3 linked regions of the Callithrix jacchus genome follow. The protein of the gene in region 1 interacts with the protein of each later gene in a pairwise test. Links are inferred from orthologs where the notes say so. Each region holds a gene or a part of one and is shown on either strand. Other genes may lie near its edges. The genes, in order: BNIP3, CLEC7A and BCL2.

The links.
Region 2: the proteins of BNIP3 (region 1) and CLEC7A interact in binary tests that used the Homo sapiens proteins (3 or more experiments, as listed by UniProt). The two-hybrid records come from large-scale screens. The link is inferred for Callithrix jacchus from reciprocal best matches to the Homo sapiens genes BNIP3 and CLEC7A.
Region 3: the proteins of BNIP3 (region 1) and BCL2 interact in a two-hybrid assay, tested with the Homo sapiens proteins (2 studies listed by BioGRID and IntAct). The link is inferred for Callithrix jacchus from reciprocal best matches to the Homo sapiens genes BNIP3 and BCL2.

What each region holds. Positions count from the first base shown.
Region 1 is NC_133513.1:125,280,799-125,290,917, reverse strand, and holds the start of BNIP3 (BCL2/adenovirus E1B 19 kDa protein-interacting protein 3), read left to right. Parts: upstream 1-4,314; 5' UTR 4,315-4,442; coding exon 4,443-4,488; intron 4,489-10,119. UniProt on the Homo sapiens protein: Apoptosis-inducing protein that can overcome BCL2 suppression. May play a role in repartitioning calcium between the two major intracellular calcium stores in association with BCL2.
Region 2 is NC_133510.1:12,872,238-12,881,951, reverse strand, and holds the end of CLEC7A (C-type lectin domain family 7 member A), read right to left. Parts: intron 9,508-9,714; coding exon 9,389-9,507; intron 4,716-9,388; coding exon 4,583-4,715; 3' UTR 3,412-4,582; downstream 1-3,411.
Region 3 is NC_133514.1:106,287,803-106,297,994, forward strand, and holds the start of BCL2 (apoptosis regulator Bcl-2), read right to left. Parts: upstream 7,017-10,192; 5' UTR 6,120-7,016; intron 5,897-6,119; 5' UTR 5,614-5,896; coding exon 5,026-5,613; intron 1-5,025. UniProt on the Homo sapiens protein: Suppresses apoptosis in a variety of cell systems including factor-dependent lymphohematopoietic and neural cells. Regulates cell death by controlling the mitochondrial membrane permeability. Appears to function in a feedback loop system with caspases.

The sequences.
Region 1 (10,119 bases):
TAAGATCATTAGAATGACTCCTTATAAATTCTATTTTCCTCAATAGCTTAAATCAGGGTTTGGTTAACAAAGTTAAAAAATACCAGCTTAACTGGGTGAATATACAAACCCATGAACTATTAAGCTATACAGATCAACTTCCTAAAACGATTCAGAAAGAAAAAAACTAATGTCTCAAAGACTATGAATTTGCAACTACAAGAACAACTACCCAAACAAGGCCTTTTAAGACAAGACAGAGCCTCCTTCTAATGATAAAAGGGCTGTTTGCTTCTGTTGTAAAAAGCCTGGCCATTAAAAAAAAAAACTGTAGAAAAGTTCACAGCAGGACCAATGAAAAAACAGGATCCCACATGATGAACAGGATTGCTGAGGACCAAAGGGAGGTTCTGTTTCTACCAATACCCTAGAAGAAATGGACATTTCCATAAATGAAGAGACACATGCCCTCAAAGACACTGGGGCTATTCTTTTTGTCCTTAACCCCACCCACCACTTCCAACTGTCCCCTTCCTTGAAGTAAGGGAGCTGTACAAATGGAAGGGTTATCTAATAAGCCTGTCACTGGATACAAGCCCGAGCCCTTAGAATCCCAGGGCCTTCACTCTTTCCCTTATTCCTTTCAGTACCCCACCTCGCAGACATCTCTTGTGGAACGTCATGATGCATGCCTTCCTTTCTCCTAAAAGGAAAAAGTGGATTTAGGTTTGGAATAGGAGCATATGGAACAACTACAGAATGAAAAATTACTGAAATTATAAAAATACAGATCAAACGACTTTTTCTAAACTGGGACTAATTAATGACAAGCATGGTTTAGGGCAAGCTTTGCCAGAACACTCATGGTCACAATCTTCGCTGACATTAGTAAAATATATTCAGCCACTTTCATTAAAATGGAAGTAAACCTGATTAATCCTTTCCCAGTATCAGGCAATATCCTCTAAGGCCTGAAGCAACGGAAGGAATAAGATCCATGACAAAAGACTCTATTAAAAGGGTCTATTATTCCTTGCACCAGCATGCAACACTCCAATCCTTCCTGCAAGGAGGTGGAACGGGAAGAGGTGGCAGTTTGTGTAAGATCTGAGGGCTGTCATCAACACTGTGATGGCGAGGCATCTGGGAGTACCGAAGCCCATCCTCTTGGCAGCTGGAAGTGAGACACTTACTGTGACTGATTTACGCAGTGCTTTAATATTCCAGTGCACTGTCGGTATCTGCTTCTACTTGGGATGTCCGCCAGCATATCTGGCCTATCAGGAAATATTGCTGATAAAACCGCTGCCTCCCTCGCAGCTCAACAAAAAGCTACAGACTCAATGGCTAAAGCTAGACTGGACAACTGCACTGATTTCGATTATTAGCTGAGCGAGCAAGCGTAGGTACGGTGGCAAATACCTCTTGTTGTGCACACATAAACTCTTACCATTAAGTAGAAACTCACCTGGGAAAAATTAGAAGCTACTTGGCTACAAGTCTCTGAAGAAGAATCTCTGTTTAATTACCTGCATAATACTCTTAGTGGACTCCCTAGCAGAACAGGCTCCTTTTTTCATTCTGGCATACACATTCTCTTTTTTATTGTAATCCTTATGTGCATTGTACTTGGCACAATTTTTTTTTTTTAATTTTTTGAGATGCAGTCTTGCTGTGGACAGGCTGGAGAGCAGTGGTGTGACCTTGGCTCACTGCCACCTCTACCTCCTGGATTCAAGCGATTCTTGTGCCTCAGCCTACTGGGTAGCTGAAATTACAGGCACCCACCACCATCCTCAGCTAATTTTTAAAATATTTTTAATAGAGATGGGGCTTCAACATGTTTGCCAGGATAGTCTCGATCTCCTGACCTCATGATCTGCCTGCCTCGGCCTCCCAAAGTGGGCACTTGGTAACATTTTTGTTTTAATAAAGATGGAATCTTTCTGTGTCGGCCAGGTTGGTCTTGAACTCTCAGGCTGAAGTGATCCTACTGCCTTGGCTTCCCCCAAATGCTGGAATTAAAGCAAGAGGCACTGCCTGGCCAGCATTATAGTTCTACTATTGGAAATATTAATGCTGTGTATCTCTGGCTGTTTTCCTTTTTCTTTTTTTTTTGAGACAGGGTCTCACTCTGTTGCTCAGGCTGGAGTGCAGTGGCCTGATCATGGCACATTGTAGCCTCCACCTCCTGGGCTCAAGTGATCCTCCCACAGCAGGTACCACGATGCCGTGATTTTTCTTTTTTTTTTTTTTGGGGGGTAGTGAAGGGGTCTCGCCATGCTGCCCAGACTAGTCTCCAACTCCTGGGCCAAAGCGATCCTCCTGCCTCGGCCTCCCAAAGTGCTGAGATGAAAGGCCTGTTTCCCACACTGGGCTCGAGAAAACCAAAATCATGGCACTCCAAATACTAGGGCCGATTCAACAGCAAGAGCTGCGGTGAAATCCACGCAGTGACGGAGGTCTGGTTTCTCCGCGCGGTGATCCCGGTTCCGGTTCTGAGCACCTGGCGTCCCCGTTCGCTGTCGGGGGCCTCCGCCTTCCCCGCGTGGCCAGACCCGGCTGTCTGGGAAGGAGTATTTCGGGGGCACAACGCGACACCTGGATCTGGGTCGTCAATGCTTCCACGGAGAAAGACTCTTGGGAAAAAGGGCGGGAAACGAGCCTTTCCTCTGAAGAGCGCGCGCCTCCCTCCAGGCCCGAGGCCGCCAGGCCGGCTCCCCTAGCCCGGTACCCACCCGGCCCGGCGCCACCCCGCCCCGAGCCCCGCCCGCCCCCGGAAACCCCTCGCCGCGGAGGCGGACGGCGCGCCTCTCCGGGCCCCTGGGGTCCGCGTCTCCCTCGGGCGGATCTTCCGCCCCACTTGAGCCTCCGCTGCTCCTTGTGAGCGGACGCCCCCAGACACAACGGCCCCGCTGTTCAAGCAGGGGCGCCCCGGCCGGGCGGGCAGAGACCCGGGGGCGCGGCCTCGGCTCCGGCCCACCACTCGCAGCGACCGTACCGGCCCCACCGGCCGCCCAGGAACCGCAGCAGCTACGCCCCCGCACGTCCTCACGCCCCCCGCACGGACGCCGCTCTCCCCGCGTCCTCACGACCCCCGCGCGTCCTCACGACCCCCGCACGTCCTCACGCCCCCCGCACGGACGCCGCTCTCCCTACACGTCCTCACGCCCCCCGCACGGACGCCGCTCTCCCTACACGTCCTCACGCCCCCCGCACGGACGCCGCTCTCCCTACACGTCCTCACGCCCCCCGCAGGGACGTCGCTCTCCCCGCACGGACGCCGCTCTCCCTACACGTCCTCACGCCCCTCGCACGTCCTCACGCCCCCCGCAGGGACGTCGCTCTCCCCGCACGTCCTCACGCACCCCGCACGTCCTCACGCCCCCCGCAGGGACGTCGCTCTCTCCGCACGTCCTCACGCCCCCCGCACGGACGCCGCTCTCCCCGCACGTCCTCACGACCCCGCAGGGACGTCGCTCTCCCCGCACGTCCTCACGCCCCCCGCACGGACGCCGCTCTCCCCGCACGTCCTCACGCCCCCCGCAGGGACGTCGCTCTCCCCGCACGTCCTCACGCCCCCCGCACGGACGCCGCTCTCCCCGCACGTCCTCACGCCCCGCGCAGGGACGTCGCTCTCCCCGCACGTCCTCACGCCCCCCGCACGGACGCCGCTCTCCCCGCACGTCCTCACGCCCCCCCACACGGACGCCGCTCTCCCCGCACGTCCTCACGCCCCCCGCACGGACGCCGCTCTCCCCGCACGTCCTCACGCCCCCCCACACGGACGCCGCTCTCCCCGCACGTCTTCACGCCCCCCGCACGGACGCCGCTCTCCCCGCACGTCCTCACGCCCCCCGCAGGGACGTCGCTCTCCCCGCACCTGTTTCCCCACACTAGGATGGAGAGACCCTCCCCGCCCCGAAGCGTGGCGGCGCCGGGGTGACAGGTAGAGCCTAGCGCGTCCGCCGGTCCCACCGCCCCTCTAAAAGAAAACCCGGCCCACCGCCTGCCGCGTCGGCGACCCCGCAGCCCACTCGTCACGCGGCCCGGGACGCTCCGCCCGGCCTGGCTCACCTCAGGCGGTCTCGCCCGCGCCCGCGTCTGCGCATCCTTCGCCCCGCCCCTCTCTCCGCCTGCGACCCGCGCACCGCAGTCCCCGCCCCTCGCCCGCCCCAGGACCCGCCCCGCGCACGCGCCACACGTGCCGCACGCACCGCACGCCCCTGCGCACGCGCAGGTCCCGCGCCGCGGCCAATGGGCGTCGCGGCCGCAGATCCGCCCGGCCCCGCCCTACCCGGTGAGTTCCTCTGGCCGGGCGGCGGGGCTCCGCTCAGTCACCGAGCGCTGGGCCGCGGCGTCCCCGTGCCCACTTTCTCACCGTCCGCCGTCTACGCGCAGCCCGCAGCCCGCAGCCCGCAGCCCGGCGCGGACTCTGATCGCCGCAGCCGCCCTCCGGCGTCATGTCGCAGAGCGGAGCGCCGGGGATGCAGGAGGAGAGCCTGCAGGGTGAGGCCGGGGAGGCCGGGGGGACGCCGAGGGGGCGCCGAGAGGAGGCTGGGGGGTAGGCCGGGGCGCGCCGACAGAGGCCGAGAGGAGGCCTGGGGGGGGCATCGCGGGCCGACCGAGGCCGTGTCGCTCTGCTCTCCGGTGCCCACCCCTCCGGCGGGCGTGCGGGGCCCGGGGCGTGGGGATTCCGCGCGCTGCTCCGGGTTCGCGGCCCCCTGGCTGGGGCGAGGGGTGGCTTGGACCCGGGTCGTACCGCGCGGGGAAGCCCCAATTCTCCAGCCTCGCGATGGCTGGAATTCCACCTGGAGGTGGCTCTGCGTCTCCCAGTTGGCCCGGGCAGCCTCTTGAAGTCCACGCTGCCCTCCGCGGTCTGTAGTTCAGACCAGCATCGGTTTTGTTTATTTATTTGCCTTCGAGACGGAGCGTCGCTCTGTGGCCCAGGCTGGAGCGCAGGGACGCCACCTCGGCTCACTGCAGCCTTCGCCTCCCGGGTTCAAGCGACTCCCCTGTCTCAGCCTCCCGAGTATCTGGGGCCACAGGCGCGTACCACCTCGCCCGGCTAATTTTTGGTGGGTTTAGCAGACGAGGTTTCACCGTGTTAGTCGGGATGGTCTCGATCTTCTGACCTGGTGGTCCACCCGCCTCGGCCTCCCAAAGCGCTAGGATTACAGGCGTGAACCGCCACGCCCGCCCTAGCATTGGTTTTAATGAGTAAACACCGAGGCGTGGCTTGTAAGTGCTTTAGTTTTGTGGCTGCTGTTGAAGTCCGTGGTGACTATTGGGATTTCCTGAAGTTAAATGGGTGGGGGTGACAGCGTTGTTAGATTCTGGCATTAAATGGACTTGGTCCGATTCTCCTAGAGGATCGTTCCGAAACAAAGCTTTAAATGACCTACGGGTTAAAAATCACAAAAGGACGCCGCCTTTAGAGCAGCCAGTCGTTGCAGCCTGCTTAATGCCCGCGTAGAGGCCTGCTGTGCGCCCTTTGCTAGGTTCGCAGTACCAGCGGTTCAGGACTTGCCCCACGCACAGCCAGGTGGCATGGAGACCCTCCCCACCCGGTAAATACACGTGCAGAGCCCAGATGAGCCTTTGCTCAGGGAAGCGGGTCCAGAAGCTGCCTTCCCAGGGTCCCTAGGGCCCAGGCCTCGGGGGAGGGATGGTGGCAGCTGACCTTTGTGTTCTCTGAAGCCAGAGTTTACAAAGCAAAATTAGCAAGTAAATAAGCTTGGGAAAGGACTGCTGAAACCTCTGCCAATGAACTTTCAGTTTTCACGAACAGTTCTGAAAGTCATGTATTTACATTAAGTTTAGTGAGTTGCTAATTTTATTACAAAAGCAAGATTTTACTAGGCAGAACTTAGTTTCCATAATATATCGAATAATTTATGTATGTTTGAACACTACCATATTTTTTTTCACCTTTTTTTTCCTAAGAGATGAGATCTCACTATGTTGCCCAGGCTGGTCTGAACTGGGTTCAAGTGATCCTCCCGCCTCGGCCTGGCCTAGAACCATATTTTTAAAAATCCTGTAATTTGGATTTTTTCCTCTTGAAACGTAAACATTGGATAATTACTATTCTGAAATAGATTAAGGGGTATTTTTCTGTCTTTTGTCATAAAGTAAAATCCAAGAGATGTTTCCTTTGCTGTAAAATCACCCATTTTCCGTTTGTGAAGCTGAGTTACCAAGGACACGGTGTGTTTCTTTGACCGGCTAGGATCCGGGCCCTGGGAGGTGGAGGGGGCTCCGCAGGGGCTTGTTCCTCTCCAGTCCGTAACTTAAATAGGCTGCTGAGTCATCGGCAGTGCAAGACGATCAGCGCTGGAGTTAGGTTTTTGTTTTTCTGTTTTGTTTATTCTGTAATAAGATACTTAACGCGTGGGGTGGAACCCAGGTTGGCAATTCCTTGGGCCGTCCTGGGTGTCTGCGCGGCAGAATGGGGCCACCGTGGGCTCTGCGTGGGCGGGGTCGGCCGGTCCCGCGGGCTCCAGCCGCCTTCAAATCCTGCGCGGAGCCGTGGCTCAGGCAGCACTCACCCCGTCTGGTCTGATTTCTCTGTCCCTTGTTTACCTCGGAACAGGGAAGTGTGGGAGCCCTGTAGCCAGACCCACAGATGGAAGCAGCAAACACTCTCTGCTTGTACCCTCTGGGGTCAGCTGCTCTTCCTGAGGAGTTAACGGCAGATGGGCTGATTCTGTCCCTTCTGTCTCTTGATGATTCTAGCTAAAGTTGCTGACTAGCAGGATGCTCATATGTGTCCTTTTTATTCCTTACTCTGTCGCCCAGGCTGGATTGCAGTGGCACAATCACTGGAGCTCACTGCAGCCTTCAACTCGGCCGTTTTCCCGTAGACATGCCACTGCTAAAATGCAGGAGCGGTAGGATTCTGTGGTGACGCCGCCAGGGTTGTGGGGGTGGGGGCATTCCTTCCTTCAAGGACGCACTGTCTTCAGGAGGGCATCGGTTCAGTAAAGCGTTGGCCCATTTACTCTGGAGCGGCTGTGTTTAACGATCCAAGCCCTCACCCCTTCACCCACTGCTGTGTCTGCACCGGCAGATGGTTCTCTTATCAGAGGCAACTCACCATGGGCAGAGCTGTATGAGGAGAAAAATGTTTGTACTTACTTTGGAGGGGAATTGTAGCATTGTGCGGTTTTAGACCTGAAGGGGTTGCAGACGTCTAGATTCTCATCCAAGACGATGGTCACAGTGAGGTTCTAGAGGTGGAGTGAAGAAGAATGCCAGCAACAATAATTAAGGAAAAGCCGAGGACTCTGCATTAAGCACTGGAGGGATGGATACCTGGAGCCCAGATTGCCTGAGGCTGATTAGATAGCCAGGGTCCTGGAGGAGAGCCTAGCAAGAGGAAGGTTGAGCCCTGTCAGAAGCCAGGGACCTGATTTACCTGCCAGGCTGACATGAGGCTTGAAGTCTTTTGCCAGGGAAGTCTCTTTTGTTCCTCTTCCCATTAACCTGAGAAGCTTTTAAAGGTAAAAATAAAAGCAGTTTCCTTTTTTTTAAATTTTGAGATGGAGTGTTCACTCTGTCCCCCAGGCTGAAGTGCAGTGACATGATCTTGGCTTACTGCAGCCTCCCAGGTTCAAGTGATTCTCCTGCCTCAGCCTCCCAAGTAGCTGGGATTACAGGCGCGTGCTACCACACCTGGCTAAGTTTTTGTATGTTTAGTATAGATGGGATTTCATTCACCATGTTAGCCAGGATGGTCTCGATGTCCTGACCTCATGATCCTCTGCTTCCCAAAGTGCTGGAATAGCCAAGGAGCCTGGTCCATAAAACAGCAATTGCTTAGAGCCCACTTCCCGTGGGGAAGAAGCCCTTTATATGGTCTTGGGAGTGCTAGTTCCCTCTGGGGTTGACAGCTTCCCTGCTTCAGGCTTTTTTTTTTCTGGGGATGCTGGCTCCCTCTCTTCTGACATTTATCCAAGAGCTTTTTCAGTGTATTTGCCTGGATTCCACCCTAGCATCCCAAATAGTCGCTTTCAGAGTGGGCTGCGGCTGGGCTTTTGGAGAACAATGAACAAACAGCACAGGTGATTTTCCCTTCATAGCCAGAGTTGAGACTGTCATCCAGATGAGGGCAGAGGACGGCCTTGAGAACTGGCCCTGCGTTTACTCCACGTGGGGCTCTTGGCTGCAGCCGGTGAATCCGTGTTGAGGAGTGCAGCTAGGGCATTTGCCCTGGGACATAGAGGGGCAGTGAATCTAAGGGATTCCCTGGAGTCTGTCACTATAGAGAGAACTGCTTGGGGCACCTAGAGAAGCTGGATGTCAGATGACTTAAACCACAGAGTAAGAATAAGAAATGGATTAAGAACTGTTGTTGGATTGTATTTTGTCTCTGAGGCAGACCTATCAGCTTCCTTTTTGTAATGTGATGTAAATATTTATAGTCTAGGCTTTTCAAAATCTCATCTGCCTTGTTAGGAGGGAGGCAAGATTTACTCCCTGCGTGTCTTGTTACCAATGTAAGTTGTAAGTGAGGAGGGGGAGGAACATAAAGAGAGGGATGGGAAATGAGATTAGGGATGGGGGCTTTTCGACTGGGTGTGGTGGCTCACACCTGTAATCACAGCACTTTGGGAGGCCAAGGTGGGAGGGTCACCTGAGGTCAGGAGTTCCAGACCAGCCTGGCCAACATGGTGAAACCCTGTCGGAACTAAAAATACAAAAATTAGCTGGGCGTGGTGGCGGGTGCCTGTAGTCCCAGCTACTCGGGAGGCTGAGGCTGGAGAATTGCCTGAACCCAGGAGGCGGAGGTCGCTGTGAGCGGAAATCTGTGCTGTTGTACTCCAGCCTGGGTGACAAGAAAAACTCAGTCAAAAAAAAAAAAAGGCTGAGGGCTTTTCTTGCATCAGCTTGCTTTCCGGGCCTGATTACTGCAGTCATTTTAAGTAGAGGACTTGTGATCACGAGCAGGTGTTTTTCTTTTTTCCCGAGCCAGTCTCCACGCTGCTGGAGTACAGTGGCACGATCGTGGCCCACTTCAGCCTCCACCTCCTGGGTTCAAGTGATTCTCCTGCCTTAGCCTCCTGAGTAGTTCGGATTACAGGCAGGTGCCACCATGCCTGGCTCATTTTTTGTATTTTTAGTAGAGACGGGTTTCACTGTGCTAGCCAGGATGGTCTTGATCTCATGAGCCGCCCGCCTCACCCTCCCAAAGTGCTGGGATTATAGGTGTGAGCCACCGTGCCCTGCCGTGAGCAAGTTTTTTAAGATCGTTAAGCAACCTTAATCCCCATCTTTGTTTGAAAAGGTGAATGATTAGATTGGAGAATTGTAACATTTGAGTAGATTCACAGCATACTCTGTTCTCCAGGAAGTGCCTTTCCTACCCTGCGTAGGTAAACAGTAACTCCTCTCCCTTAGTAAATCATTCCTGGGAATACAGCTTTTGGGCCCAAAGTCATTAGTCACAGACAATACGGAATGGTTTTTTTCCTTGTCTCCAGGATGCTTAGGACTCTTTCTGGGGCGATTTTTTAAAAGCACTGCTTTGTTTTGACTGTGTCCCTCCCATGTTGCCAGTGGGATGATAGTAAAGGTGGGCTTTTAGAGGTGCTTAGGCCACGGGGGCTCCTCCCTTGTGAATGGGATTAGTGCTCTAAGGGGCTGGATGGAGGGAGGTGGGTGCCTCTGCCCTCATTGAAGGGATGGAGCAGGAATGCCCTTACCTGATACCAGTTGCTGTTGCCTTGACCTTGACCTTCCCAGCCTTCAGAACAGATCAATTTCCGTTTGTCAATCACTTAGTCTGTGGGATTGTTACAGTAGCACAGACAGATGAAGACAGATTCACTGTTTCCAGGCCATCTTCCTCCGTGGTCTTCACTTTTCCCCTGTAAGATCAATATAGTATACTTTGGCCTTGACCCTCGTTTCTGATGCACAGCACCTAACCCCCTGGATTTCCTAGCAGCAAGTTGTTTTTTTTTTTTAAGACAAAGTTTCGGCTGGGCGCGGTGGCTCACGCCTGTAATCCCAGCACTTTGGGAGGCCGAGACGGGTGGATCACGAGGTCAAGAGATCGAGACCATCCTGGTCAACATGGTGAAACCCCCGTCTCTACTAAAATACAAAAAATTAGCTGGGCACGGTGGCGCGTGC
Region 2 (9,714 bases), on another chromosome or scaffold:
TTCTGGAGAAAAAGTTCCATACTATCAGTGGAAACGAGCGTGAGGTCAAGGTGGCCCAGCCCAAAGCAGTTTATTAGCAGCAGCAGTATGGCTCTGGGGGCCCTGGAACCCTCCACGAGGGAACCGAGGCAGCAGAGGCGGTGGAGGAGGTGGAGGTCAGGGTGATACAAACTACGGCAAGAGCCGGAGACACGGTGGCCATCAGGACAAGCCACACTGAGGCGGCGGCAGGAGAGACCAACTGACCGCACACTCGCTTTGTCAGGATATGGAGGGAACACAATTACGTACCAAATGTAACTTGGCAAACTTTCTATGGCCTGTCCCGTGTGCCTCTTACTTAAAATTCCCCCCATGGAAATCACTCTCCTGTTTACCAATTCCAGAGCTCTAGTTGTTCAGGCAGCGTGTGGTGTTTGAGAGACCAGAGCGCATTGTGGGCTGATTTTTTTTTTTTTTAACCGAGTTTTGCTCTTGTTGCCCAGGCTGGAGTGCAATGGCGCCATCTCGGCTCACTGCAACCTCCACCTCCAGGGTTCAAGCGATTCTCTTGCCTTATTACCAGGTTCCCCAGATGGCAGTCTCTGCTTCCTGCTGCCTGGCTCTGCAGCCTGGATCTGTGGACCCTGGTTGTAAAGTATAAATTGTTTCTTAGAAAACCAGTGTCACATTTTTTCACCTTTTAATTTCATATTATTTGTGTCATACATTTCCTATTATGGAAGTGTTAATTTTACTGTATTTTTTGGTACCTTTTGGGAATCTAATATAAGGTATTTTACATGTGTCCTGATTTTGCCACAACCTGGATATTGAAGCCATCCAAGCTTTTGAAATAAAAATTTAACCCCCCCATGAAAAAGAAATAAAGCCAAATACTTAACAGACAGCTGATTTTTGATGAATCATACATAAACAGAAACTGGGGCAATAACACCTTATTTAATAAAAGGTGCTGGAAAGGCTGACAAGCCACATGTAGAAAAATGAAACTAGAGCCCTCAAAATCAACTCAAGATGGATCAAAGACTTAAATCTAACACCTGGAAGTATAAAAATCACCGAATATAATAAGAAAAAACTCTTCTGGACATTAGCCTATGCAAAGAATTTATGACTAATACTCCAAAAGCAAATGCAACAAAGACAAAAATAAATAAATGAGACCTCATGAAACTAAAAAGCTTCTGCACAGCAAAAGAAATAGTCAGCAGAGTAAACACACAACCCACAGAATGAGACAAAATATTTGCAAACTATGCATCCAACAAAGGACTAATATCCAGAATCTACAAGGACCTCAAACAAATCAGAAGGAAAATAATAATAATAATAATCCCATCAAAAAGTGAGCAAAGGACATACATAGACATTTCTCAAAAGAAGATATACAAACATCCAGCAAACATATGAAACAATGCTCAACATCACTAATCATCAGAGAAATGCAAATTAAAACCACAATGAGATCCCAGCACTTTGGGAGGCCGAGGCGGGTGGATCACGAGGTCGACAGATCCAGACCATCCTGGTCAACATGGTGAAACCCCGTCTCTACTAAAAATACAAAAAATTAGCTGGGCATGATGGCGCGTGCCTGTAATCCCAGCTACTCTGGAGGCTGAGGCAGAAGAATTGCCTGAACCCAGGAGGCGGAGGTTGCGGTGAGCCGAGATCGCGCCATTGCACTCCAGCCTGGGTAATAAGAGCGAAACTCCGTCTTAAAAAAAAAAAAAAACCACAATGAGATATCAGCTTACTCCTACAATAATGGCCATTATTAAAAAGTCAAAAAACAAAGATGTTGGCATGAGTGTGGTGAAAAGGAAATGCTTACACACTGCTGGTGGGAATGTAAATTAGTACAGCCTCTATGGAAACAGTATGAAGATTACTCAAAGAACTAAAAGTAGGTCAACTATTCTATCTTGCAATCCCACTACTGGGTATCTACCCAAAGGATAATGTCATTATATATGAAAAAGACACGTGCACATATATGATTATAGCATCACAATTCACAGTAGCAAAAATATGGGACCAACCTAAGTGCCCATTGACCAATGAGTGGAAAAGAAAATACGGCATATATACACCATGGACTACCACTCAGCCATAAAAAATAATGAAATAATATTTTTCATAGCACCTTGGTTAGAGCAGGAGGCCATTATTCTAAGTAACTCAGGGAGGGATGAAAAACCAAAAACTTTTTGTTCTGACTTATAAGTGGAAGCTAAGCTATAAGTAGGCAAATGCATACAGAGTGATATAATGGACTTAAGAGACTCAGAAGTGGGAGGTGAAAAGGGAGGCGGAGGGATTAAAACCTATGTATTGAGTACAATTTACACTACTCAGGTGGGTGACAGGTGCATTACAATCAGAATCCATTGCTATATAATTCATCCATGTAATCAAAAACCTCTTGTACTCCAAAAGCTATTGAAATTAAAAAAAATACATAACTAAAAATACAAATATCTTCCTCTTGCGTAGTTCCTTGTAAGAGTAGGAAATCAAAAATTATTTGTTTGCATTGGGTTGGGTATCAGAGAGCCATATGACAGAGAAGGTAGTCGGAATTGTGAAGATGAAGGTGTGTGAAGGCCATATGTGAATAAAACAGAGATAGAGTGCTAAAAATGATAACAGCTGGGATCAGAAAAAGGCACCCGTAATTATGAGTCTCATAAAATAGCAATTAGAACTATTTCATGTCACAAACTTCAGTTGTTATTCAAGTATATTCCTCAGAATTTTTGATAAACAACATACATTAACATTTATACTACTTTTCCTTAAAATTTGTTTTTTTCAACAATAACAAGAATATTTTTGACTATTGGCTATATGGCAAGTACTAGTCACAGACTGTTGTGTACACCCATGTACACCAAAGCTGTCTGTTCTTTTAGAGACTATATTCTATGGAGAAAGGCAGATATATACAAGAAAGATAGTATGAAGCTGGTGCAAAAGTTATTGTGGTTTTTGACATTGAAAGTTTTTTCTTATGTCATTTTTTCCCTTTCTTTTTCTTATGTTTATTATATAGTACAACTATTTTTTTTATTTTACTTTAAGTTCTGAGATATACATGCAGAATGTGCAGGTTTGTTACATGGGTATACGTGTGCCATGCTGGCTTGCTGCACCTATCTGTCTCATCCCTTTCTACATATTTTTAAATAATGACAATATAAATTTGCATATTAAACAGTAGTAAACCTCACAAAAATCTTCATCTTCTCTTAGATTTAAAAAATTTTTAAGAACTCTAATTAATGCTTTAATATCAAAATATCTACTATAAATATTCCCTCCACCCACACCAAATTCATTTTTTGGGGAGAAGGCAAATCGTGATAGTGATTGTGACACATGGGCACATAATTTAGAGGCTAGGGGTTTTTTGATAAGAGTTTTCTTTTTTTATTGAGATGAAATCCACATAACATAAAATCAGCCATTTTAAAGTGAATAATTTAGTGAAATTTGTACAATTTCTTTTCACATATTAATTGACATTAGAGGGCTGCAAATGCCTCCCCAGTAATATAGAAATATCCACTGGAAATAAAAATAGCACCAGTGGGAAAGTATGAAAAAAAAGAAAAGAGACAAATCAGCACATGAGGAAATATAGTTTCATTCCAATAATACCTTTTTGCAGTAGTTACTGAAAAAAATGATAAAAATTATAAAACAGTACATCAGGAAACTAATAAAGCATGTTTCATATTACAAAATGTTAATGCTTGTTCCAATTAGATTGATTACTTTTTTATATTCATCAACAGACTTTGTGTATTTTTTGGTTGCTAGCGTTTAAAAAGCAGAAAACTTTCCTTTGAGAGCAGTTTCCATACTGCTAGAAGTTAAGGGACAAATTGTGGCAACAAACCATGCACTTCAATGGCATATTTGAGTACAAAAACAACTCTAATAGAGCCGGGAATTAAGATTATCTTATGGTTTATCCCAGGTAAATACCAAGTCAATGGCAAAATGAAACTTCAGGCTTGGGGCAAGGCGTGATGGCTTACATCTGTAATCCCGGCACTTTGGAAGGCCAAGGCAGGCAATCACTTGAGCCCAGGGGTTGGAGACTAGCCTGGTCAACATGGCAAAACCCAGTCTCTACAAAAAATACCAAAAGTTAGCCAGGCATGGTGACATGCACCTGTAGTCCCAGCTACCTCGGGGGAGCTGAGGTGAGGAGATGGCTGCAGTGAACCAAGATCGCGCCATTGCACTCCAGCCTGAGTAACAAAGTGAGATTCTATCAAAAAAAAAAAAAAAAAAAAAAAAGAAAGAAAAGAAAAGAAATTCAAGCTTGACTGCCCTGACTCCATGTCTAGAGATCTACTAACTAGAACAATAATACTGGCCTATGTGTAGGTCAACAAATACAGAAACCACAGCCTCCCCTTTCAATTTCTTGGGTACGATTACAGTTTGCCAAGCTCTCTGAACATTTTCTGCATTTATTTTGACTTCTGCTGTTACTCTTTTCTGTTCTGTTTTCTGTCCTCCTTACTAGCTCACGTATTTCTTCCCTCCTCCTCTACCCTATCCCTTACATTGCAAACTTCTTCTCACAAATACTATATGAGGGCACACTACACAATTGATCATAAATGATTGACACATGAATCCATACACAATTGAGAGATGAGTTTTCTTGGGTAGCTGTGGTTCTGATCTGAAATCTGTTAAAATAGAATACAATGATGTAATTAGAACAAATGTTAAGGAATACTGTCCACATGGCACTCAAATAAATTAGTAAGGATATTGGTGAAAAGAGTTCCGAAGTGTTTATATTATTGGAAAAAGGGGTTTAAATCTAAATTGTTTTTAATCTCAAGTGGTTAAATGAATAGTCTCCATTCTTAAGGCAGAAAAATGACACAATTTTTTTATTCAAGAAATAAGACTAGTTGCATAAACTTAAAAAAGATCCTGGCAAAGAAGAAAAATCATTTAATATTCTATTAAAAGTTCTTTATATATCTTTCAACCTATTACTTAGATGTTTCTTTATCAAATCAAGCAACAGCTCAGTGAAACTATTATTGAATATACTTAGTGAGTAGACCAAGCAGAAGTATTAATGCTGAAAGGAATCAAGAACTAAAAAAAAGAATCATAGATGCCTTTAAATCAGGTCATTTAAAGGAAGGGCAAACAACTCTTGTTTATTTTAATTTATCCTGAAAGCAGAATTATATCACAATACAATGCTTGACAGTTATGGTAATCAACATTGGTAAATGGAAGCACTGTCCTATTCAATTTGGTCTTCAAAATCCTGAAGGAGCAGTGTTAATTAGTCAAGCTCAAAGAGGATCACTGCACCTCAGTGCAAAAGCTATGACTTGGCGCTCTTTGTCTTGGGTATCTATCTCTTCTTCTTGACGCTGAGGTTGGAAGACTGAGAAACCTTTGCTCTAGAGATGACTAAGACTAGGATTAACTACTTAGTTTATACCTCAGGGAGAACGCTGATCAGCATTATTTTTAAAAATTTTTCCTTGACATCTAAGTGTTTTGGGGCTGGATTAAATAAATGCCACCAAGAAAACCACAGAGTACTAACATATCAAACAAAACGTTAACTTGGGCCCACGCTTGTGATTATAGAAAGAGTCCTCTAGCCATATGTTTAAAACAGCAAAAGAAAACTCAAGACAAACAAGTTCTATAAAAAAGTAGAAAATACATTTGGCCGATTGTTTGTTAATACATTCACTGTACTTGGCCTAGTAGAAGTAAAACAGTTAAGTGATTATACTCAGCAGTCGGTACCATTCACACCATTGGGTGAACAGACTCTGTGGTGAGAACAGAGGCAAATGAAAAAACACTTCGAATTAATTCTGCAAAGATTTTAAGATACAGTGTTAAACACCCTATAAAAAGCAATCTGACATAAAAGAAAACTAGTCAACACAAATGAAAAGTAGTAAAAAGAAAGAGAGAGAGAGAGACAGAGACATATATACATATAGGACATTGGAATTACATATAGACAGATATATACAGGACATTCAGACACATGCTAAAACAACTATGGTTAGTGTATTCTAAGAGTTAAAAGACAGTACTGAGAATGCTGGAAGGAAAATGGAAGTATAAGTGTTGAAAAAATAGATTTGAGAAAAAAACCATACTAAAATTATAGAACTGAAAATGTCACCAAACAAAATAAAAAATATAGACCTTTAATAGCAGATTAGCCACAGATGAGGAAAATAGATGAACTGGAAGATATGTGAAGGGTAATTACATAGATTGGAGTGAAAAGATAAAAAAGAATGAAAACACAGGAAAAAGCAAAAGAAACATATAGGATGCTGTAAATGGATCTATAATGAGTGTAACTGGGATTCTAGGAGAAGGGAAATAAGATGGGGAAAACACAAAATTTGAAGCAAGTATGGCTGAGAATTTTTCATTACTGAGTAAAGACATCAGATTTAAGCCACATGTTACCTTCAAACAGATGAACTCGCAAAAGGAATATTGGATCTGGGTCACGGCACCAGAAAAAAACAAAAAGAAGAAGAAGAAGACGATGTAACCCCAGCTACTCGGGAGGCTGAGGCAGGAGAATTGCCTGAACCCAGGAGGCGGAGGTTGCAGTGAGCCGAGATCGTGCCATTGCACTCCAGCCTGGGTAACAAGAGCGAAACTCCATCTCAAAAAAAAAAAAAAAAAAAAGAAGAAGAAGACAAAGAAGAAGAAGAAGAGGAGGAGGAGGAGGAGGAAGGGGAGGAAGAAGAAGAAGAAGAAGAAAGAACAATAAAAAATAGAAAAAAGTGGAATAACGTATTTGAGTGGCTGAGAGCAAAAACAACAAACTCCTAATCCTATACTTATTGAAAATATCAGTCTTAAGAAAAAATACCTGAAATGTAGAGTAGGAAAGGAAGAAATAATAAATAATTAAAATCATAAATATGTGGGCAAATTGAATTGAATACTAACTGCATAAATTGCTGTGTGCCACCATGCCTGGCTAACTTTTGTATTTTTTTTTTAAGAGATGGGGTTTCACCATGTTGGCCAGGCTGGATCTCAAACTTCTGACCTCGAGTGATACATCTGCCTCGGCCTCCCAAAGTGCTGGGATTACAGGCATGGGCTACTGCACCCAGCCCAAACAAGGGCTTTTTTTTTTTTTTTTTTTTTTTTTTTTTTGAGACTGAATCTATCTCTATTGCCCAGGCCGGAGTGCAGTGGCATGATCTCAGCTCACTGCAACCTCCGTCTCCCGGGTTCAAGCAATTCTCATGCCTCAGCCTCTGAGTAGCTGGGATTACCGGTGCCCACCACCACACCTAGCTGGTGGTGCACAGCTGTAGTCCCAGCTACTCAGGAGGTTGAGGTGGGAGGATCACATGAACCCAGGAGGCAGAGGTTGCAGTGAGCTGAGATCGTGCCACTGCACTCCAGCCTGGGCGATAAAATTAAAATAAGTACATTAATATAATAGCATATAAACTGAGGAGGGCATCAACAAAGTAAAGGAATGCTCTATTAATTTTTATATTGATCAGGAAGAACATAAAAATGCCAGTCAATATTAGTCTTTGATGAGTGAAGATTACGTATATAATTCCAGGAACAACTACTCAAAGATTAGTAAAAGAAATGTAAAAGATGTGAAAGAGCACATTCCAAATGAACAGATAAAAAAACTGAATAAGAAAAAGTGTTGGCCGGGCGCGGTGGCTCACGCCTGTAATCCCAGCACTTTGGGAGGTGGAGGCGAGTTGATCACAAGGTCAAGAGATCGAGACCATCCTGGTCAACATGGTGAAACCCCGTCTCTACTAAAAATACAAAAAATTAGCTGGGCATGGTGGCGCGTGCCTGTAATCCCAGCTACTCAGGAGGCTGAGGCAGGAGAATTGCCTGAACCCAGGAGGTGGAGGTTGCGGTGAGCCGAGATCGTGCCATTGCACTCCAGACTGGGTAACAAGAGCAAAACTCTGTCTCAAAAAAAAAAAAAAAAGAAAAGTAAAGAAAAAGTCTTATAAGAAAAACTGAACAAGGAAAAGCAAATGAATGACAATACCAGTGACAAAGACTTCAACACATAATAAGGAATAATGTATACTCATGCAAATGCGAAATACATTTAAAACATCTTTCTAAAATGCAAAATGTGAAAATGTGGTTACTTTTTAACTTAATAATAAGTATCACACATTAACTATGTACAAGACACTGTGCTAAATAACTTTATTTTCTTTCTTTCTTTTGTTTTTTGAGATGGAGTTTCATTCTCGTTGACCAGGCTGGAGGGCAATGGCACAATCTCAGCTCACCACAACCTCTGCCTCCCGGGTTCAAGTGATTCTCCTGCCTCACCTCCCAAGTAACTGGGATTACAGGCATGCACCACCACGCCTAGCTAATTTTGTATTTTTAGTAAAAACAGGGTTTCTCCACGTTGGTCAGGCTGGTGTTGAACTCCAAATCCCAGATGATCTTCCTCCCTCTGCCTCCCAAAGTGCTGAGATTACAGGAGTGAGCCTCTGCACCCAGCCCAATAATTTTACTTTTATACCCAACTCATAATTCTAAAAACGAGCACTCTTCCTTTCTTTTGTTTTTGTCTTTTGTTTGAGTTGGAGTCTCGCTGGAGTCCCATTCTGTCATCCAGGCTGGAGTGCAGTGGCATGATTTCAGTTCACTGTAACCTCGGTCTCCCAGGTCCAATCAATTCTCCTGCCTCAGTCTCTTGAGTAGCTGGGATTTCAGGCAAATGCCACCACACTCAGTTAATTTTTGTATTTTTAGTGGAGATGGGGTTTTGCCATGTTGGTCAGGTTGTTCTCGAACCCCTGACCTCAAGTGATCTGACCACGTAGGCCTCCCAAAGTGCTGGGATTACAGGCATAAGCCAGTACTTCTGGCCCAGAGCACTCTTTCTATTCTCATTTATGGATATAAAAAAATGGGACTCAGAGAGGAAAAATGACTTATCCTCAATGTCACACAATCAGTGAGTGGGCTAATAACCCGAATTGAGGCCTGGCTTCAAAACTGACGTTCCTAACCAGACGGTTACACTGACTGACTGACTGCTCCTTGCCTGGACAACCTCAACATGTCGGATGCCTCCCTGGTAAGAAAACCAAAAGAACATCGGTGTTGATGGCGCTAGAAGGCCTCTCGGCTCCTTTTCGCTCTCGAATCCTCCTCATTCTTCTCCTTTTGTCCTAGCTCACTCTTTCTCTTCTTTCATGCCTTTCTTTCTCAAATATGGTTAGCAAATCAGGTTCTTAGTCGCTTGCCAGAGGTTTTCACAGATGAGGTGAAAACCTCCCTCTGCGAAAGAGGATGAAGCACTGTGTCTCTAAACACTTACAAGTTAGGAGAGAATGTTGATCCATCCTCCCACAGCCATGGTCCCTCAGTCTGGGTCCTCGAAAGGCCTATCCAGAATGAATTATCAGGTTGGGAAGATACTTGCTTTAATATAAATCCCTGTAAGGAAACAAACACAAATAGACAACAAAGAGAGAGAGAGAGAGAGGAGAGAGAGACACTATTAGCATGAACATGGAGAAAAAGACAACTGATTGAATCACTTTGGCGAAGGATGCTTGCCTAACCTGACATCAACCTCGAGAGAAATGTCAATTTTTGAATGTCATTGAATGTCTCAAAAGGCCTATTTTATTTATTTAAAGT
Region 3 (10,192 bases), on another chromosome or scaffold:
AGTAACTGTGAGTTTCTTCAGGCGCCTGCAACACTTGCCTGTGAGTTTATCCAGGGCAGAGGCTCCTTCCCATGCCTCCAGCCTAACCCAGGGCAGGACCCACGTAAGACTGGCAATCATGTCTGTGGAATAACTGTCTCAGTCCTTGGATGATTTTCATCATTGATCCTGTTTAGACATCAAACATTAAGGTTGCTTTAACCAAACCAAGAGGCATGAAAGAGAAACTTCACAGTGGAGTAAATTCACAGAGTGGTCTTCTATATGTAGCTGACAGAAAGGATGACCAGATTGAGAAGTTACTGTTATATCTGAATAAGGTGATATTAGATTACCTTAAAAAGGTTGAAGAGAACCTTTGAACCTCAAATACAATATATCTCTGGGGGAAAAAAAGAAAACTTTCTACTTGTACACTACAAAGACAGTGTTGTTTGCTAGCACAAATGCACTTCTGCTGAGATACTGCTTTGCTAAACTACTGCTAAGACACAATGAGTGACCTTAGAAATGGGTGCGGAGGTATGCTGGGTGGGAAGCATCAGGTTAACACACTACCCACACACTCACTCACGAGTGGGCTTATCATCCCTCCAAAAAGCACTATAGGACTGGAACAGAGATAAGAAAAAAACTACAAGAATTTTGCTTGCTTTTTTTTTAACCTGTGGCTTTCTGTTACCTGGTACACTGTGTGGCCTGATGACATTTAAGTAATCTGAAAGGTACCAGTTCAATCAAAGATTACTAAAAAGGACAATCCGTTCTCATTAGAAAGTACAATTCAAAGCAAAGAATGCACAAAAGAAAGCTATGTTTTTAATGGACGTTAAATAGCGACAAAGGCCCTAAAACAGAAAAGAGAACTCAAGTTAACTATAAAATTGTATGAAGGTCCAGAAACATAATCACTCCACAGCACATGACTGCAAACTCCAGGGGCAATACTATGTTTTTTCTACCAAATAAATTATTGAAAGGGGTCATGTGATTCTTAGCAGGCAGAAAAATACACTTTCCCAAGGAAAGTTCATCATGAAATATATTATTTAAGACTAGATCGTCTTCAAGCTATTTTTAATCCTGTCGTTTCGCTGCCAAAATTGGCCATACACAGCCAATCCTCAGATACTAGAAAAATGATGCTCTTTCATATAATTTGTACACTGGCATGAGAATGGTATTGCTTTCTAGTTAATCAAATGTTTTGCTGGATGTGGACTGCATTCAGAAAGGAAAAACTGCTTGCTGACTAACTAATGAAAGGGAAGCTGAACTCTACCAGGTGTGGAGAAGTTCCCATCTTCCTAAACCACCAACACCAAAGGACCAAAAGATGGATTACCGTCTCTTCAGTAAAATTAAGCTCATCTCCTCCAGTCTCCTGTCTGAATCATCTCATTTTTCTAGTAGTCCATATCTCACTCTCTCCTAAGACGTGAAGCTGAATGTCATCACAGTTCAGTTTGGGAAGCCACTCACCATCATTTGCCCACAACTCCTGCCTGCAAGAGTCCCTTTGTCTTACAGCAGTTGCAAGGTCACTAAAGTAATTTCCAGAATTTAAACTGTGTCAGGAGGAGATAAAATAATAACTAACAGAGCTATTAAAAGAGTTCATTCTCTTGACTTTAATTGCAGAAGAAAAGCTATCTTACTTCTTAATGGGACCAGTGATGCCGATACAAATTGGGTAACTACCATGAAAAATATTTGCGAGAAGACTGGGCTTGTAGTAATCTACCTGCTTGCTATCTCTCCTTCATCCCAATTCATGTCTTCCTAAAGTCAGATAACAATAGCGGAATATTCAGAATTCCAAGTAATACTACAGATCTTTAAGGTCACTGGAAGGGGCCAATGCAGAATCCATCCCAGGTAGCAACGCTTCCTAAAAGATGCCACCAGGAACCAAGGATGGTAGCCAGCATCGCTAACTTCAATGTGCACAGACCACATATTCTGACTCAGAATATGTGAGCTCTGGGGTGGGAGATGAGCTTTTGCATCTCTAAGAAGCTCCCAGGGGGTGCACATGCTACTGGTCTGTAAGCCACACTGAGCAGCAAGGTTTCCACATTTTCTAGAATTGCCGCTCTCTCGCTGCTTCCTCTGTCCTGCCTCTCTCTGGATGCCACACAATGCCTTATTCAGACCTAGGAATAAAGCCACACTCCACTCTACACCCAATTACTTCTTTAGTCTTTATTTAATTTGTAGTCTTCTGGGACAGTCTATCAGAGGCTGATCATTCCAAGGACCTGATTTCTCCATGTTACGGAACACAAGATTTCCTCAGCCTCGCAAGGTTCTCATTTTGTAGGAGCAGCAGCAAAGAAAAAGAGATGACTTGAAGTCTGAAGTCTGGAGTATTCAGGGTAGCATTCAGGAGATGGGCTTATCCACTGAACTCTGGGGACAGTGCAGATTATTGGCACGTGTCAAGAAAATATGCTAGCTCTCTTCTGAAGCTTTACCATGAAGACTTATTTACACTGTAAAATACAACATATTATTAGAGATGTAACCCTGACTGGTGTAAATTTGAAGAAAATCTGTATGCCATGCCTAAAATAACTTTTGGATTAATAATGCACATTTGAAATGATAGGCAAATCCTTTATCATTCTCAAACACTACTACTATTATTCCAAAGTGTCCTATGAGTGCATTTCCTGGTGTGTATGTATGTGTGTGTGTGTATATATATAAAAATATATTTATAAATACATATATGTATAAATATATATTTTTTATTTTATAAACATATATATGTATAATTATATATATATATTTTTTATAAATATAAACTCTAAATTCCTTTGTTTTCCTATATAGCCACCATCTGTGCATTATTCTGAAATTTACAGATTTCTGTTCTGAAATATCTATTACGTATTTTACCATCAGCCATCTGTGTTTCTGTATGATTTATTTTTACTAGAAGCAGTTTTGTCAAAAAATGTTTATCATGTTCTATGGTATGTCACTGTGGTTTGGCATCATAAAACGTAGCCTCTGCATTTACCAACCTCAGATACCTGTTGACCACAAAGATAGGTCTACTATGAAAACCCTGTTTGAAAAAAAGAAAAAAAGTGAGCCTTTCCTTAAAAAAAAAACTTCAGTTCCATGAGATGATAACACTGAAATTCAGCAGCAAATATCAGGTTGTATCTTAATTCCGTCATCAACATGCGTTTCTGTTTCCTGTTTTTATTAACTTGATAGACAGATACCAGTTACCACCTGGATTTCCTTCAACTAGAAAGAAAATTTTAAATATGAATTTTTCATGAAAATATGAAATGGTGAAACTATTACATCTGTTTTACTTGCTTTAAAAGGATCCGTTTGGAGTCTGGAAGTCTCAACCTCTTTGGTTATGGTGATTAAAAATCAAACCACCTACTTAACCAAATATTTAACAAAAATATTCTTTTCACCCTTCAGCAAATTCTTCCAGAATTACTAAAGGTCTGATAACGTGAGATCTCAACAAACAATTCGAGAAGAGCGTTTAAATTTTAGAAATTTAAATTGGGGTATTTTAGTTCATCTTACTTTTAAACACCAAACAGTGGCATCAATATTTTGCCAACTTTGGTCAAATAAGATCAGATGTTCCCATCAATCATCTACTTTTCTTGGCCTTTTCTCTATTTGGCCCCTTAATATGAGCACACTTTGTGAAATGTAATAAAAACATGTAGTGTGCTTCTTGACATCTAATCCACTTGCAGTCATTTCTAGGCTTTTTTCTCCTGTTAGGACCTATAAAGTAATGACATTAGTCATTCTCCCAAGAGACTATAAAAGGAAGCACTGAATTGCATCCTTTTTTTTTTTTTTTCAAAGATAACTCTTCAGATTAAAACAAAAACTGGAAAAAAAAAACCCCACTTCAGACAGGAACTACTTTTCTATAAATTCATCATTTTAGGTATGAGATATAGCTCTCCATTACAGTCCTTGAATCTTAGGAGCTGCACCCCTCCCTTAAAGAATCTCAGAAAAGTACAACTGTATGGTATAATGATGAAAGCTCTGTCTAGCACAGAACCAGAAAAAGATCATCTCACATATGTTCTTCAAAGCCACAGGTATCAATCACTTCAACTCAAGTCGGGGTATGAGAGAATCCACAGCTAGCAATCAATTCTTCTACACCGTACATAGATACCTAGATGCAAACTTTTTCAGGAGACCACAAAATTATGTCGACTCTAGGTAGTGAAAAACAAAAGATTCTAACAACATTCTAGTGAATTAGTAACTCATACACAAATTATAGAACATAAAGAATGCAGCCGATGCAAATTCTGTCACTGACGAGGTAGCAAAGCCATAGACCAATACCCCTCAAGACACTGCGTCACGCCCACTGGAAATATGGCACACACTGGAGATTCCAGTGCAAGGACTTTGGAATGTCAATTTAGCTCTTTACAAACACAACTAAGTTTTCCAGGGAAAGGGACTCAGGTTGGTTTTCCTCTTTTGGAAAATTTTACCGAGTTAGAAAAAGCGTACCCTTAGTCTTCTGTGGAGTCTGTTCTTCTCATTGGGGTGTTCCCAAATTTAAGTGCACCAGGGGCGTGTCTCAGGGGAGCTTGTTTAGGATGCAGACTGTCAAGACCCAACCTGGCATCTGGTTCATAAGCAGGCCCTGAAACCTCCCTCCGGTCCCAACAAGCTGCTCAGGCCAGGAAACTGTGGTCCTGGGGACTCCTGGACCTCCAGCTCGAGAAACACTGAAGGGGTACCATTGACCACCACATCCTACTGGACCTCCTCAACTAGCGAGCAAGTTAAAGACTTTTAGAGGGCAGGCGTCATCACTCAGGTTGGGAAAGAACACTTTGTCCAGAGGAAGAGGTTATGGACGCCGGGAAGCAACAACCCTGATTTTATTTCACCAGCCCCACAGCCTCCCCTTACCCCAGGAGCCCACCCGCCGCACTCCAACCCCCACATCTCGGACCTGCAGCCTCAGCCCAGACTCCCATCACCACGTGCACCTACCCAGCCTCCGTTATCCTGGATCCAGGTGTGCAGGTGCCGGTTCAGGTACTCGGTCATCCACAGGGCGATGTTGTCCACCAGGGGCGACATCTCCCGGTTGACGCTCTCCACACACATGACCCCACCGAACTCAAAGAAGGCCACAATCCTCCCCCAGTTCACCCCGTCCCTGAAGAGCTCCTCCACCACCGTGGCAAAGCGTCCCCGCGCGGTGAAGGGCGTCAGGTGCAGCTGGCTGGACATCTCGGCGAAGTCGCGGCGGTAGCGGCGGGAGAAGTCGTCGCCGGCCTGGCGGAGGGTCAGGTGGACCACAGGTGGCACCGGGCTGAGCGTAGGCCCCGTGGCGGCGGCGGCGGGGGCGGCTGGGGGCGGCGGCGGCGAGGTCCTGGCGACCGGGTCCCGGGGCGCGGCGGGACCGGGCGTGTGCCCGGGCTGGGAAGAGAAGATGCCCTCCGCGGGGGCGGCCCCTGGGGGCGCGGCGCCCACATCTCCGGCATCCCACTCGTAGCCCCTCTGCGACAGCTTATAGTGGATGTACTTCATCACTATCTCCCGGTTATCGTACCCTGTTCTCCCAGCGTGCGCCATCCTTCCCCGAGGAAAAGCAGCGGGGGCCAACGGCACCTCTCGCTCCAGCTCCCACCCCACGGCCCCCAAAGAAAGAAGAAGAGTTATAATCCAGCTATTTTATTGGATGTGCTTTGCATTCTTGGAAGAGGGGGTGTCTTCAGTCACGCGGAACACTTGATTCTGGTGTTTCCCCCTTGGCATGAGACGCAGGAAATTTTTATTCCAATTCCTTTCGGATCTTTATTTCATGAGGCACGTTAGTAGTAAGCATTGTTAATATCAGTCTACTTCCTCCGTGATGCTGAAAGGTTAAAGAAGAAACAAACTCATAAGTTAAAAAAATCAGGTGCATTTTCCTGTATGCCCTGGCTGAAAGCAGGGCATACGCACTACAAGTAACACGGCTAAAAAGAATGTATTAAACTGCCTGGAAATTAAATTTACTCGAATGCACTTTAAGTAAAAATTCTCAAATGTTTTCATTGAAAGTTACATTAAGCCAATTTCCTGTGCAGAGAACTTACTTGTATTTTTTAAGAACAGCATGATCCTCTGTCAAGTTTCCTTTTTTGTAAAACCAAAACAAATGCATAAGGCAACAATCCCATCAATCTTCAGCACTCTCCGGTTATAGCTGCTTTGAAACTTCCCAATGAATCAGAAGTCGGGGGGAGGGGGAGTAAAAATTAGGAGGATTTCCAGATCGATTCCCAGACTTCTGCTTCACAGAAATGTCAATCCGCAGGAATCCCAACTGGAGATCTCAAGAGCTCGAGAAAAAAAGGCAGCGGCGGCGGCAGATGAATTACAATTTTCAGTCCGGTATTCGCAGAAGTCCTGTGATGTTTTCCCCTTCTCGGCAATTTACACGCGCGCATACACGCGCGGGCACAGGCATGAATCTCTATCCACCGGACCGCTTCACGCCTCCCCGGCAGAGAGACAGGGGAGGGGGGACGACGGAGGAGCCGGGGACGGGGGCAGCAATCCTCTTCTGATTAAACTCCGAACAGCGAATGCATTTTCCGAAAAGCTGCTGGATAAATGAAGGCAGGACGCGCCTGGCCCGCCGGTGCCGAGCGCTAGAAGCCCGCGCTGTGTGTGGTGCGGCGAGGGGTGGGGAGAAGGAGGTGGTGGGGGAGGGCTTTATTTTTTCCCTCTTTTCCTAAAAAGGACGACTGCTACGAAGTTCTCCCCCCTGGACCCCCTTCTTCCGCTGCACCCCACCGGCGCACCCCGCCTCCGGGCTGCGCACCCTTTCTCCTCCTCCTGCTCCTGCGCGACGGCGCTGGCTGCGGCCGCCTCCCGGAGCTCCCGCCGCGCAGCCCGCTCCGAGCGCAGACGGCCGCCGGCGGGGAGGGCCCGGCGCCCCGGCACCTTCGCTGGCAGCGGCGGCGGCGGCGGCGCGGCGGGGCCAAGGCGAGCGGCGAGCGGGCGGCGCGGCGGGCGGGCTGGCGGCGCAGAGGGGCGGGCGCGGGAGGAAGGGGGCGGGCGCGGGGCGGGGGTGTCTGTCCTCTTACTTCATTCTCCGCATAGCCCGACCGGTTTCCTGTGCGTAACGTCACACGGTTCATTCAAAAAAAGAAGAAAGAAAGAGCCCTCCTCTGAGCCGCCCGACCGCCCCCTCCGCCCCGCTCGCTGGCCCGGGTTAAAGGCGCCGCGGCGGGCCCGGGAGCGGCGCACCCCACCGGGGGCACATGGCGCGCGGGGCCGCGACCGGGGAGGGCGCACCCGGGCCGGCCACCCGCCCGTTCCGCTGCGTTCGCCCGGCCCGGCCGGTGGGTGGCGCGGGTTGCGCGGGCGGCGCAGGCCTCCCGCGCGGCCGCGGCGCGGTGGGTGTGAGCGGGCCTTCTGCTCAGGCCTGTGGAGGGCCGGGCGCGGACCTCGGGGTCCGCGAGGGGGTGGGGGCTGCCGGGGAACCGCACGCGGCCCGGCCGGCGACGGAGAGCGGAGGGGGGCGGCTGGCGGGAGGGTGCGCCATGAAAACAAGGGCTGGAAAAGCGCCGGGAACCGCCTGGACCCTTTCTAGCCGACTGAGAGAGAGAGAGAGAGAGAGAGAGAGAGAGTGAGAGAGTGAGTGTATGTGTGTGTGTGTGTCGCCTGGACCCTTTCTAGCCGTGTGTGTGTACACGCGCCTACACACACACACACACACACACACGCCATGTTACCCGCGCTCTGCCCCCGGGGGAAGACCCAGGCCAATGCCACCCCCACCCCCCACCCCCAAGCAGGGGGACCTTAGCTCTGCCCTGCGGTGAAAACAGGCGACTCTGAAACGTTTTAAGCAATATCCAGGGACGCCCCCAGCGTAGTGTTTACTTTCAAGTGGATTACTAGGTGTCGGCGCACTACACACGCGCGCGCATTCTCGCCGGTGTCCCCGTGAATATCCAGTACGTGGCCAAGGCCAGGCAGAACTCAGCGCTCCACGGAAGGAGCCAGCGAGGGGTTATCAAGGGCTTTAAAATAATTTAAGTCCGTGTTGTTCCTCTGTCCCTAACACGTTCTGCACTGGGTCAGGGCTGCACGCTGAAGAGTTCTGCATAGTAACTTTCGGGCCCACCGTCCTAACGCTGGGGTGGGTGGGCTCCTAAAGGTCTCCACCTTTCTCCACCTTTGCCTTGTAGCCAATCCTAGATGGCCGCACTTTCTCAAATGATGTACGCAGATATATACACATCCACACTCGCAGACGTGTGTAAGTGCAATCAGTTTTAAATTCATCGGAATGAATAGCCCCTAGCAGAAAAGGACAAGAGGACAAACAAGTTGCACGTGTTTATTTTTAGCTCCAAGAGTCTTTGACAAATAAGACACCGAGAAAAAAAATAAAAGGTTTACCAGAAGCACAGCGGCTTACTTAATAGGGCTCAAGTTCAAATATATAGGGACAATAGATTATTGTGATCAAGAAAGATGACAAATGAATACTACAATGTGTACAAATATGCTCTTTTTTTCCTATTTTTTTTTTTTTTTTTTGAGACGGAGCCTTGTTCTGTCGCTGAGGCTGGAGTGCAGTGGCTGGATCTCAGCTCACTGCAACCTCTGCCTCGCAGGTTCAAGAGATTCTCGGGGCCGGGCGCTGTGGCTCACGCCTGTAATCCCCGCACTTTGGGAGGCCGAGGCGGGTGGATCACGAGGTCAGGAGATCGAGACCATCCTGGTCAACATGGTGAAACCCCGTCTCTACTAAAAATACAAAAAATTAGCTGGGCATGGTGGCGCGTGCCTGTAATCCCAGCTACTCAGGAGGCTGAGGCAGGAGAATTGCCTGAACCCAGGAGGCGGAAGTTGCGGTGAGCCGAGGTGGAGCCATTGCACTCCAGCCTGGGTAACAAGAGCGAAACTTCGTCTCAAAAAAAAAAAAAAAAAAAAAAGAGAGATTCTCCTGCCTCAGCCTACTGAGTAGCTGGGATTACAGGTGCACGCCGCCAAGCCCGGATAATTTTTGTATTTTTATTACAGACGGGGTTTCACCATATTGGCTAGGCTGGTCTCGAATTCCTGACCTAGTGATCCACCCGCCTCGGCCTCCCAAAGTGCTGGGATTACAGACCTGAGCCACCGCGCCTGGCCTGACATCTTCCTACTCTAAATCAAAACATTTTTTGGCAAGGACACCAGATTTTAAAATTATTTTTACTTAGCTGGTTTTTAATTTTTTTTTTTTTTTTTAAGAGATAGCTTTTGCTATGTTGCCCAGGCTAGACTCAAACTCCTGGGCTCAAAGGATTCTCCTACCTCAGCCTCATGAATGGCTAGGACTGTAAGCACTGCCATCTCTTTCGGGTATTTTTATTTTATTTCTTCATTTATCGTATCCCATCAGCCCAACGAGACAACTTCTCTCACACAGGAATGGGTGCCTGGGTACAAATGTCTTATCCAGGCAAGAGGGATGAAAAGAGATCCTCCTTCCTGCCCTTCTGATGATTGGGACAGAGTCCCTTTTATGCACATGGGAGGTGTTCTGGTCTGGATAGACACGGGGTATAAATTGACCTGGAATGTATGTTCTCACATAAATTCATGCCAATTCCACATTATGGTTGAGAAATCTTGAAAGCGCAAAGCCCCCAAATTATCTAAGAGGAATTGAAAGGTTTCAAGTTACTAATACTCAGCATATGAGTGAGGAAATGATAGGACAAACCTGCAAAAAAACTACTTCTGCAAAGGGAGCCGCAGAAGGAAATGGATCCCCTATTCCCAGATAAAGAAAAGCTTCCTGAGTTTTGCCTGCCTTTGCTCCCATAGAGCCTCACTCTATGGATTTTCCCAGACTAATTCCTCATGTGGCATCTTGGCTATAATCAGCCTTGAGACAGGTCTGTATTGCAGTCTTCGACTAGGGTTATATATTCCTTGGAATGTTCTAGGTACTCTTTCAATTGAAAGAGTGAACCCATTCCTGTGTTCGGATTCCATGTTTATTAGATTCCATTTTAAAGCATAAGGGCAAGTATTTTCAGGAAGTATGTGACATTGACAATTGTTTTTGGGCAATGCTGAGGCAGGGGAGCGAACACCAGCCTGAGGGAGGACTAACTGGATTTGAATCCTAGATCTGTGCCTGAGACCTTCCAACGAC